Linked DNA regions of Notamacropus eugenii. Each later gene encodes a partner of the first gene's protein in a complex. Links are inferred from orthologs where the notes say so. Each region holds a gene or a part of one and is shown in the gene's direction. Other genes may lie near its edges. The genes, in order: ALYREF, CHTOP and THOC1.

The links.
Region 2: ALYREF (region 1) and CHTOP share a complex: the UniProt entries of both Homo sapiens proteins name them as parts of the transcription/export (TREX) complex. The link is inferred for Notamacropus eugenii from reciprocal best matches to the Homo sapiens genes ALYREF and CHTOP.
Region 3: ALYREF (region 1) and THOC1 share a complex: the UniProt entries of both Homo sapiens proteins name them as parts of the transcription/export (TREX) complex. The link is inferred for Notamacropus eugenii from reciprocal best matches to the Homo sapiens genes ALYREF and THOC1.

The regions. Positions count from the first base shown.
Region 1 is NC_092873.1:325,989,907-325,993,650, reverse strand, and holds the start of ALYREF (THO complex subunit 4), read left to right. Parts: upstream 1-1,025; coding exon 1,026-1,265; intron 1,266-1,698; coding exon 1,699-1,830; intron 1,831-3,101; coding exon 3,102-3,249; intron 3,250-3,744. Other genes in the region: ANAPC11 (anaphase-promoting complex subunit 11), read right to left, coding at 745-1,063. UniProt on the Homo sapiens protein: Functions as an mRNA export adapter; component of the transcription/export (TREX) complex which is thought to couple mRNA transcription, processing and nuclear export, and specifically associates with spliced mRNA and not with unspliced pre-mRNA.
Region 2 is NC_092873.1:377,600,097-377,603,840, forward strand, and holds the start of CHTOP (chromatin target of PRMT1 protein), read left to right. Parts: upstream 1-1,201; 5' UTR 1,202-1,471; intron 1,472-1,593; exon of another isoform or gene 1,594-1,714; intron 1,715-2,278; 5' UTR 2,279-2,295; coding exon 2,296-2,360; intron 2,361-3,744. UniProt on the Homo sapiens protein: Plays an important role in the ligand-dependent activation of estrogen receptor target genes. May play a role in the silencing of fetal globin genes.
Region 3 is NC_092875.1:244,527,771-244,531,514, forward strand, and holds the start of THOC1 (THO complex subunit 1), read left to right. Parts: upstream 1-955; 5' UTR 956-999; coding exon 1,000-1,053; intron 1,054-3,744. UniProt on the Homo sapiens protein: Component of the THO subcomplex of the TREX complex which is thought to couple mRNA transcription, processing and nuclear export, and which specifically associates with spliced mRNA and not with unspliced pre-mRNA.

The DNA.
Region 1 (3,744 bases):
TTCAATGGCCTGCTAGAGAAGGATTTCCTGTAAACCTATGAAAGCACCAACTCCTAGAGAAAACTAAGATTTGAGCCGTCTTGTCTTGGGATGAGAACACGACCGTCACCCCGGTAGGATAAAAGCCCCTTAGGGGCAAGGGTGGTTCCGTTTTGGTTTCTGGATTCCCAGCACCCAACAGGCCCTTAAGAAATGCTTCACCGATTCGAACGGAATCAAGGAGAAAACATGAAAACTAAAGAAATCTCCACTCGCAGCAGGGGAGCAGGGGAGCCCAAATCAGTTTCCTTCTCTTCCTGGGGCGGCCCCGCTTACTCCCCCTCCCCCAGGCTCACGTGACTCCGCCCCCTCCCCAGAATTCCCACCGGGTTCAGGCCTCACACCTAAGGCAAGCCTGGGCTTCAGCCAGCGCAGGACCCAGGTCCCTCCTGAGTTCCCACTTGAGTCAGGGGCTTCCCCCCCACCCCGAGTTCTCACCTCCAGTCACAGTTCTCCCTTGAGTCTAAGCCCCTTCTTTATGCTGCCCCCACCTCCGTCGGGGGCCCCTACTGGACTCCAGGCCCTTCGCTTTACGCGCCCGCTCCCCCGAATTCTCTCGCGCCCCACGGTAGCCCCCGGCCCCGCCCCGCCCCCGCCCCCGGGCTCGCCCCGGCCCCGCCCCCGTCCCCGCTCCCGGGCTCTCTTCTCCTCCCGGGGGCGGCAGGCCCCCTCCCGAGTTATAGCGCCCCCTGCTAGAGTTCACACCTGGGTTCGCGCCTGGCTCCCGGAGCTCGCGCCCTTCCGTTGGCGCCCTCGCGACAAGTACAAAAAGGGCCGCAGGGGTCCGGGCAGCGGCTGTCAGCGTGCGGCCGGAGCAGAGGACGAGCGAGGCTCTGCCGGGAGCTCGGTCCGCCCGCCGAGCGCCGACAACTCGGAGGCAAGCCCAGGCGTCCCGGAAGCGCCCTGAACCTTCGGCCGCGAAGGAAGTGACGTACCGACGTGCTGACGCGCGGGGTTCGTGCCGAGGCCCCGATTCCGCGCCCGCCATGGCCGACAAGATGGACATGTCCCTGGACGACATCATTAAACTCAACCGGAGTCAGCGGGGCGGACGCGGCGGGGGCCGGGGCCGAGGCCGGGCCGGGGCCCAGGGCGGCCGCGGCGGCGGGGGCGCTCAGGCGGCCGCCCGCGTGAGCCGAGGCGGGGGGCCCATCCGGAACAGGCCGGCCATGGCCCGCGGAGGCGCCGGGGGCGGCGGCAGGAACCGACCCGCGCCCTACAGCCGAGTGAGTGAGCCAGCCTGGGGAGAGCGGGAGGCTGGGCCGGGCCTGGGCCGAGCGGGCCGGAGCGGGCCGGCCGAGGAGCTGAGGGGGCTGAGCCCTGGGAGGCCGAGGCGCAGAAGGGGAAAGGCCGGGTCCTTGTGTGGGGGCGTGCGGGGGTGGGGGGGGCTGACCCAGGACCGAGGGATCGCCGACCCTCACCCCCCACCCCCCGGAGGCCTTTTGTTTCTGATGGGCCACCGAGGCCTGGAGCCTCATGGCTACCTTCAGGGCGGGAACTGGGGCCTGCTTGGGGCGGCGGGAACGTGGGGGCGGGAAGGCGACCGCCTGCCCCCCTCGCCCGGGCCAGCGGGAGCGAGAAGGGGGCCCAGGGAAAGGAGAACCCGCCAGGCCCCGGCCGGGTGGGGGGACGACTCGCCGACCTTTGTGTTTGTTTCAGCCGAAGCAGCTTCCAGATAAGTGGCAGCACGACCTGTTCGACAGCGGCTTTGGAGGCGGGGCCGGCGTCGAGACCGGTGGGAAGTTGCTGGTCTCCAATCTGGATTTCGGGGTCTCAGATGCGGATATTCAGGTGAGGAGTGCGGCGGCTCCCGCGGAAGCCCCCTTGTCGGGAGCCAAGTGCACGGCGCGGGGTTCCCCCGACCCCCCACGGGCCTTGCAGGTGACTGGTCCTCATCCCTCCTTCTGGAGCCCAGGCTGTCAGTGGTAAAGCTGAGGGTGCAGTGAGGGCTGCGGGGAACTGGCGTAGGCCGGGATTTTTGCTTCCCAGGCTTCTTGAGGCCGTTCAGAGTGACTGAGCCTGGACAGATTTTTGTGTCGTTCGTTGTTGTGCTGAAAACGCTAGGTTTGAGAGAGGAGGTGTAGCTTCTCTCAGGCTAAAAGAGCAAAGAAGCAGCAGCCTTGTAACCTTAATTGGCTCTTCATCAAAATATGTCCGATGCTCATTCTTCTGGTATAGAAATGGGCATCCACAAAGCACCTGTTTCAGGATTAAGTCAAAAAACAGTGCTCTTTTTTAAAAAATCTAACCTCTTTCCTGTTAAGAAACTCCTTTCCAGGAGTTAAAACTTTGGAGGTTGGAAATGGTTGGGACTGGATGCCAGGCTTTCCTGGGTCCTACTTCCTCGAGCCCAGCCATACGGCTTTGCTGTGGGAGGACAGAGCAAGGCAGACAAGCACTCATGGTGTGTCAACACTTTTTTTAAGGTGGTTTCTGGCATCCACTGGAAACCGCTTTTGGTGAACTCCACTTCCCGCTGTGTGCCTGCGGCCGGAGTATCCCCACACTCTGGGTTCCCTCTCCAACTCCCAGCCTGCCGTGAGGTCAGGGCAGTTTCCATGGCAGCGCTTGACGTCAGACTTTGCGGCAGGCTTGAGTAGGAGGAGAGGGAAACGCAGGTGAGCCAGAATCTGCCTTCTGGGGGTGGGTCTGGGATCAGGTCTATTGAATCAATGGGCCCTTAAATCTGTTACAGTGGCCTGCAAAGCTTCCCTTGCTCTGTGACCTGGAGGTTTTCTTCATTTCTTAGAACACTCTTTTGTTAAGAGTGGTTTTTCTTCCTTGAGAAAAGACAGCCGCTGAATATTATTCCCCTCTCCGCTGGGCAAAGTACTCTTTGGCCCATAGCATCATACAGAGGGCATGCCCCAAAGTTGGCATGACCCGGGACAGGCCCAGCTGCTTTTGGAAGTTGCTGTTCCGCTCTCCCCACCCTCTCCTCCCTAGATGTGTGTTCCCTTCCAGGAACATAACTCCTAATGTAAATATTACTGGGGTCCTCTTCCTTGGACGTTATAGGAGAGAGCCTTGTTAGTCATTTTTCCTTTCTTTCCTGTTTTTAGGAACTATTTGCTGAATTCGGAACTCTAAAAAAGGCAGCTGTACATTATGATCGGTCTGGCCGGAGCTTAGGGACAGCAGATGTTCACTTTGAGCGAAAAGCAGACGCTCTGAAGGCCATGAAACAGTATAATGGTGTCCCTTTGGATGGTAAGTTGAGCCTTCCATCATTGAAGGGCTGGGTGCTACGTTTTGTGGAGTATGGGGCTGTCATCTGCCCGTGTAGGAATATGATTTGCCCACTCTGGCCGAGCACACTTTGCATTTGCCCGCTTTGTCTCTCTCTTCCGTTCTGCCACCTTTCGTGCTGCCCCATACATCTGGACCAACCTCTTGTGACCCCCTCCTTCAGATCCTTCCTGAAGATTCACTTCTGTGAGGCCTTCCCAGAACCACCATAGTACACCTCAAAGAGCGGGGCTATAATGATAAAGAAAAAGGTACTGGATCTTTTTTCCACTAGGTCAGCCAGGTGTATTTCCCTCTTCCACCCATTTCCACCAAAGAAAAAGTTATTGAATATTTACCCAGTTTTAACTTTGTCAAAGAGGAGGTTGGTGGTTTCTCTCTTGCCATTTGTCTTTCTCAAATATTTTCCAGTCTTTTCCCATGTTTGTATTTAGAATGAGACAACAAGGTACCCAT
Region 2 (3,744 bases), about 52 Mb from region 1:
CCTGTTCCATCTCTCCCCCCATCCATCCCCCCATTTCCACCTTCACCTCCCACATAGCCCTCTCTCTGCCCTCAGCCTCCCCCAGTTTACTGTCCCAGGCTGGACCATAGCATTTGTGGATCACTGCTCCATTATGCATTAAAGGCTCCTCTCCCAACAGTTGTGGTGTCTGTCTCCTTTGGGGGTTAGTGAAGAAGAAGGGCTAACTCTGCCTGAGGGCAGTTATTGGAAGGGGTCATGACTCTTCTGAAAATCCCTGGAGATTGGATATTTTGGGTTCCAGACCGATGGAGGAGGAGGGTAGACTTGTATAGTGTGCCTCATTTTCCCCTTTGAAAGGTGAGAAGGGGAGGAACCCTCTTTCCGAAAAGGACTAAGATTCTAAGACAGGTAAAGAGGGCTGATCAATCACCTGAGTCTCCCTCCACTTCATCAGGATGTAATCAAGGTTGAGTTGTTAATAAGGTAAAGCTGTACCCTAAGAAGGGATAGAGGTCCAAAAATCATTTAGGATAATAAGATCAAGAATTGAGACTTTTAAAACGTTTTTCATCCAGGAGCTCTCTTTGTGAACTGTTTGGTTACATCTGGCAGTCTGGCGCCAAGCACTTAATGTTTATCGATTGACTGGTGAAGATGGCCGACCCTCTCGGAATTCTTGTTTAAGTGCACAAAACGCGTACAATTACAAAAGCAGCCATTTACACTGAAATGATTGTCAAAATATTTTTAAAACAGTTTCTGAAGCCCAGGTTAAGACCCGACCTCTTCTACAGCCCAACTGTCACTGCACAGTGAAAGCGGTGCCTAATTAGCCACAGGTTAAACGGGGAAGCATAAACGGCAGCTTGGGATTAAACCTCGGTCTGCTCCTGGTTACAGCCCGGACAAGTGAGCGGCGAAAACAGGGCTGAGCCTGGGCGGGGAGGGAAGGACCCGGGTCTACCGCTGCCACCTGTTCTCACCCTGGGGGCACCGGGAGCGGGCACCTGACAGAGCCCGGGATTTCAGGGTCGGATGGGCACAAGACCAGGGTGTACAGTGTAAATGCCCGCTGGGTCTACAAAAGCACCAGGTAGTCACCGCCCCCCTCCTCCCCCCCGGAAACACGTGTTAGCAACCACGCCGGGGGCCGGGCCTACGACAGCCCCGCCCCTCGCGACGAGCGCGCGTCTCACACCAACGTCCACGCGCCGCCGCCATTTTGGCCACCGCCATTCCACTCCAAGCGTGGCGGCCATTTTGTTCGGGTCGCCGAGTGGGAGTGGGTTGCGGTAGCGGGCGAGAGGGCGGCCTGAAAGGACGAGGACCCAACAGCCAGCCCGTCACGCAAGCGGCTAACCACCCTCGGTCTCGGCCCAGCACCTCCAGCCGCCCCAGACAAGCCCAGCGCGGCCGGTCTCCGGCCCCACAACCGCAACCGCAGTGGCAGCGGCGGCCCCCGGCGGAGCGCTGGCGTCCGTGTCCTTTGGTGCGTGCGCGCGTGCGCGGCCGGGCCTGGGGCCTGGGGCGGGGGAGGGGGGCTGAAGAAAAACCTTGGATGGGGGGCTTGAAGAGGAAGGGGTAAGGTGGGGAGAAGGGAACGACCAAAGGGGGGGCGGGGGGCGCCTGTCACGTGACTAGAAAGCGCTGCGGGAGGCGAGCGATGGGCGGGGGCGGGGGGGGGGGGGAAGACGAGCTCGCGTGGCCGCGGAACGACCGAGGGAGCTAGAGGGTGAGGACGGAGGGCGGAGGAGGAGAGCGTTTGGGGGCCCCATGGCTGGGGAGCAGCACCCGAAGAATGACGGGGGGTGGGGCGAGGAGCCCCAGAGAAGGGGACCCTGGGGGCTGGGAGCGGGGGAGAGACGGAGGAGAGAAAAGGCCGGTGGAAGGTTTAGGCCGCCAAGTTTGAGAGAGAAGTCGGGGTGCCATGTATGCTTGGGTACGCAGTGTTAGTTGGTTTGGGGGTCCCAGGGCTCCGCGGAGGCGATCTGAGGAAGGCCGGGATGGAAGCTTTCGGGGGCAGTTGTGGAAGGGTCCTGCCACCGCCTCCCGATCGGTGCCCGTCAGTGAGGGGCCCTCCTTGATGAGCTGCTGGCCTCCTGGCACCCCCATCCCGGATTCTCGGCGGGGCGGCCCCCCTTGTTCACTGCGGGCCCCGCTTTGTGTCGTCGCGCCGCTCTCTCGGACGGCCGCTTCTGTTAGCGAGGCCGTTGTCCCTCTCCCAGCGGCTGCTTGTGTCGGCCCCCTGGGGTGGCATCCTTACCGTTGTGTTTAAACCGCCCGTTATCCTTTGCAGATTCCCGGGATCTGAAGATGGCTGCACAGTCAGCTCCGAAAGTTGTGCTAAAGAGCACCACCAAGATGTCTCTAAATGAGCGGTGAGGCAGCCACCAGAAACTTCAGCTCCTCCCTAAGGAAGCTTTACTTAAGTTGGCCCCGGGGTCCGATGTTCTCAAACCATCTTGGTTTCTGCCCAGTGTTTAAGTTAAAGCTAACTTAAATATCAACAGAAGGCTAACGACCTCTGTTCTTAAGTCGCCTCATACTGTGGTACGCGAAACAGAGTGGGCAATGTTACAGAACACGTTATCGGTAGCTGTGTACGTTAAATTATTTGAACCGTTAACCTGGTGGGATGTGTTTTAAACTCAAGCACTTCACACCCTCCCTTTTTCTTCATGTTTTTTACATTGATATAGGGGATGCTGCAGCACAGTAGCATGTTACCCTGGCCGTAGGAGGCTTGCTGCCCAGTCCAAGGCCGACATGATTGTGGTCCGGCCTGTAAGAGGCAGGTAGCAGGCCAAAACTCAGCCCAAAGGCTCTTGAATGCTGTTCTTGGGCCTTGTAAGAGGCACCCTCTTTGCTTCAACTCTGCATCTTTCAGTACTGCTTTAGGCTTTGTTTTTACTTCTTTTTCTGTTAAATGTTCTTTCCTGTTCATATTGACCTTTCATAGATGAGACTCATTGGAGTGTCATCACATTCTTAACCTAAGTTGTTGCGCTAATGCATGACTTTTTCAAGAAGATTCACTTGGGGTAATTAGGAGGGAAGCCATTTTAAGCCCAGGAAAGTAAAGCTGTTAAAATATAACACCATAAAGATTTCTGTTAAAATTTTTTATGGGGTTCCTTTAATTAAATGGAAGGTAAATTACAGTATGGGACAGAGCAAACTAGTGGGGAGGTGTTTCTTTTTTAAACTGTTAAGATTAATATTCACCATGAGAGGCAAGCATTACGTAGTAGATAGAGAATACACTTTTGGGTTGAAAAGATCCAAATTCAGGTCTTGCCTCTGACATTCTGGCTCTATAACTTTGAGCAAGTAATTTAATTTCAGTGCCCTGGGCAGCTCTCTTAAGATTTTTTTCTTTAAGTTAAGGCAGGGGTAAACCTGCCTTGGTAGAGGGAGCCTCATTACTGATAGCTCTCTATACCAGTGGAATCATTAAGTCCAGGCCAAAAAATGTTCAACATGAAGGCTCCTCTGGGTGTGGATAGATAAGCCATTTGAGTCAGGAAAGCCTGGGTTCAAGGAGCCACTGACTGTGACCTTAGGTCACCTAACCTCCCAGAATTCTCAGATGAGAGGTGTTTGTTTAGGGAGCCTGACTTAAAGTCAGACCTCAGTGGAGTCTCACCTAAAAATCTTAGTAACTGTGTGACCTTTAACAAATTACTAATTATCCTATCTGGGCCCCAGTTCCTCTTCTATAAAATGAGGCAGTTGGAATACATTTGGCCCTGAGATCGTCGT
Region 3 (3,744 bases), on another chromosome or scaffold:
CATCAAATTTTTTTTTTAAATCACTGAAATAGAAACATCTGGTCACCACAGACTTGTCGGATGACTGCAAACAAAATACCCCCCTGTCCTTTTTCCTGTTGACTCCAAACCCGCTCACCCTTGGTCTCCTGAAGCAACAGGAAAGAGAGAATTCAAGGAAAAAAGAGGACCAACGTACCCCCCACCCCCACCCCAAGCGCCAAACGGCCCAGCAACAGCTCCCCGGACCTACGATCTCCCCGGTGCTGGCACTGCACCCAAGCTACGCCTTGGCGGACCGGCAGTAGCTACGACCCCAACTCCATCTCTCGGGGGTCCCTCCGGTGACGAGGCCCTCCAAGGAGAGGCAGGCTGGGGGCTTCATTCGAATCCAAGCTTTCCCGGCTTGTTAGCGCCCCCCGGGGGACGGGCTTTAGGGACGACTTCGAGAGCCCGGGTCGGGTCACTTCTATGCCCTAGGGAGGCCTCAGGGTGGACGGCGAGCTCAACGGACAAAGGGGCAGCGGGGACAAGAGGGGAGCAGCAGGGTCGCCCCTTCAGGAAGCGCGACAAGGGTGGGCCGGAGGGGGGATTCGCCCACTTTTGCTCCGGCCCGGACCGCGTCCGAGCTCTCCGGCGGCGAACGGGGCTCTGGAGAGGAAGGGGGCGGGCCTCGCGCCACAGGGATCACTGAGGTGCTAACGCGAGAGGGAGACACCTTTTCTCCGAATCCCGCTCGATACCAACGGACAGGATCCGCACAACCACCAGGTGTTCCGGGGCGAGCACAGCCCTCGCGCCACCACCGCTGGCAGAACACGGAAACACCTCCTTCCTTCTGCGGCCGGCGCAGCGATACCGGCCCCTCCGCCAGAGCTCCGCCCCCTCCGCCGACGGCGCATGCGTCCCACACAACCGCCCGGTGCCGCTCTAGCCGCGCAAAGGAGCTCGCTGTGTGCCTGGGACCCTGCGTCATCAGGGGGCGCCACGGCGCGTTAGCGGGCACGCGCAAGCGAGAAGATGTCTCCGTCGCCGCCTCTCTTCAGTTTCCCCGAAGCACAGACTCGGTTTACGGTGAGATGTAGGAAGCGGAGGGGGTGGCCGAAAACCACTTTTTCCCCTTTCTCTCCTCTGCCTTCTCCGTGGTACACCGGCTCTCCCACGGGGAGGAACCCAGAGCAGGGGACGTGTGTACACAGCGGCGTTCTCTACTGGTTTTTTGGGGGGAGGGGCAGGCTACCTGGCCCTTCAGCGCGCGCGTCTCTGCCTCCCCAACCGCGGCAGCATTCCCACTCCCCGCGTGTCCCTCGCGACTCTCGCCACACCTGGTTCCCCACGCAGAGCTCCTCCGCCGCCTCCCCATTGAGGGTAGAGGCGGGAAAGCGCTGGCGCCGGGGGCGGGTGGGTGGTCAGCCTGTGCCTGAGGAGGGAAGACAGTTGAGGGCTGGGGTGGGGGGCTGTCACTTAAACGTGCTGCGTCTGAGAACCCCACAGCTCGCGTCCGCCCCGCGCCAGCGTCGATCGTGAGCTCGGCGGTTCGTTTGCCTTCCTTTCGCTTTTGGCTAAAATCAAGGGTAAATTCCGACTTCCAAAAGTGTGAAGCGTCTGCTGTGTCCTGAGGCACCCTGCTGGGTGCCGGGGGGTAGATGGGACATGACAGGTCATGACACAAAATAACGTGTGAAGTGGGCAGAGGCTGCAGCACGACGCGGGGGAAGTGCTGGGGGAGATCTCCTCGTGGACTGAGAGTGGGTGTGGAGAGGGCCCGCTGGGAAAAACCTGCAGGTGTTCCGCCTAGCTCCGTCGTGACAGCGCTTCACACTCACACCCCCTCCACCCCCCACCCCCACCCCCGGGACTTGGCGCCTGTGTATGTACAATTATGTCAAATTTTCTTTTTACTGGACACTCCCTCCACCGAGGAAGATCCACAGGTATCTTTGCAGGTGAGGACACTGAGGTGTCGGTTCAGCGACTTCTTCATTGTCCCCTCTGGTGGATCAGGATCTCAAACCCAGATCTTATACCTACCTAAACTAGGGCGATTCCCCCCACCATCCCACTGCTTATTTAGCTATTTTCTTCGTTTAATGCTGTTAGATGACTCATACCTGTTGTACAAGATTTGATTGAGTAATTAACATACTTAATTACATGGTCATGTAAATTGGTGCAGAAGTAGGAGCTCTAAAGAAAAAAACTGATCCTTTATGCTGTCACTGTATAAATTTCCTTACATGCTGATGTTTTCTTTGCAAAATGATTTGGGGGAGGGGGGAAATAGTAGATATGACATTGGTGTTATTTTCCATGCGTTCTTTTTTCCAAGTTACTATTTAAAATCGATCCCCTAGTCATTTGTAGTTCTTCTAAGAGGAACCACTTAATCATATTCACTGTCTAGACCTGGTGTGTATCTCCTTTAGAGGTCTTCAAGCAGAGGCTGACTGATCATTTTGTAGGACATATTTTCTGCTGTCAAGTGGACTACATGTCCCAGCTCTCAAATTCTGTGATTTTGTGACATCATCTTATCTACCCTAACCAATGATCCTTTCCCTTATTCGAGCCTCCTCTTTTTCTCAACATAATTTTTTAAAAACCCATTTTGTAGTCCTTAGCATGTTATTTATATACTTACATGTACAGTATAACTCATTCTGTATTTTAATCTTATTCTTATGGGACTAGGTCATTATTTTATATAATCAATTATTTTGGTTGATTGGTTATTTTCCTGTGAATCCACACAGGCTTTTTAGACAATTCTTTTCTCTCTTCATTGCAATCTTTTCTCTTTGTGTCTTCAGCATTTTGTTTTTAAATCCCTTCTGAGCTTTCTCCATAGAATTTTAGGTAAGGGCATTCACTTTCTGAATTCTGAAGTTTGGCTTCTCAAAATCTAAGGTTCATATGAAATTATGATAAGCTTTCTGTTTCCTTAGGAGAAATTCTGAGATGCAGGGATATCCACCTACAAAGTTGCCCTCATTTCTGTTTCAGCAAACTCCTTGTTGGTTAGATTCAAGTCCAGTACCTTGTTGCTTCTACATTTTGATTGGTCAGTAATTTATTAACTTTTTTTCTTTTGGACATCAAGAGAGACAGCTGGAAGATGAACTGATAATTGAAGTCTGTCATCACTACTGTATTATGTGTCAATACCCAGCTTTGACCTATTTCCCAAACTCATTTACTTGCTCCTTCTGTTTAGGTGGTCTGTTGTATCCTCCCATGGCAGTATTACTATTAAGAAGAGATAGAATGATGGTGATGATGACAGAGGAATAAGGGCTATCCAACATTTAATTTGCTTTTGTTTTCTTTGTCAAGGAGAATGGTGTGTGGATTGGAAAGGACAAAACAAAAATGGCTCCTAGAGAGCTGAAAACAAAGAGAAGTAAAGAGATAGAGAGCATCTTGGTACAGAATGTTATACGCTGTCAGCCATGGTGACTTTCATTTGTTTTTGCTTAATTGTTTGTTATAGGGAAGGGTTCAGTGGAAGGGAAAGAGAGTTAATCATTCAGGAATGACTGTGATGTATAAAAATCAATAAAACCCACTTTAAAACCGATCTTGGAGAATAGAAGAGATGCTACAGAAATGGAGAAGGGCAAATACCCTTTCAAGAAAGGGATGAAGGAAGCTGCAAACTATAGGCCATTGTTTGACCTTGACTCCTGGCAAAATTCTAGACATATATTATTATAAAGATGGTTAGTGAACGCCTGAAAAAGAAAGTAATGTTCACAAAGAGTGAGT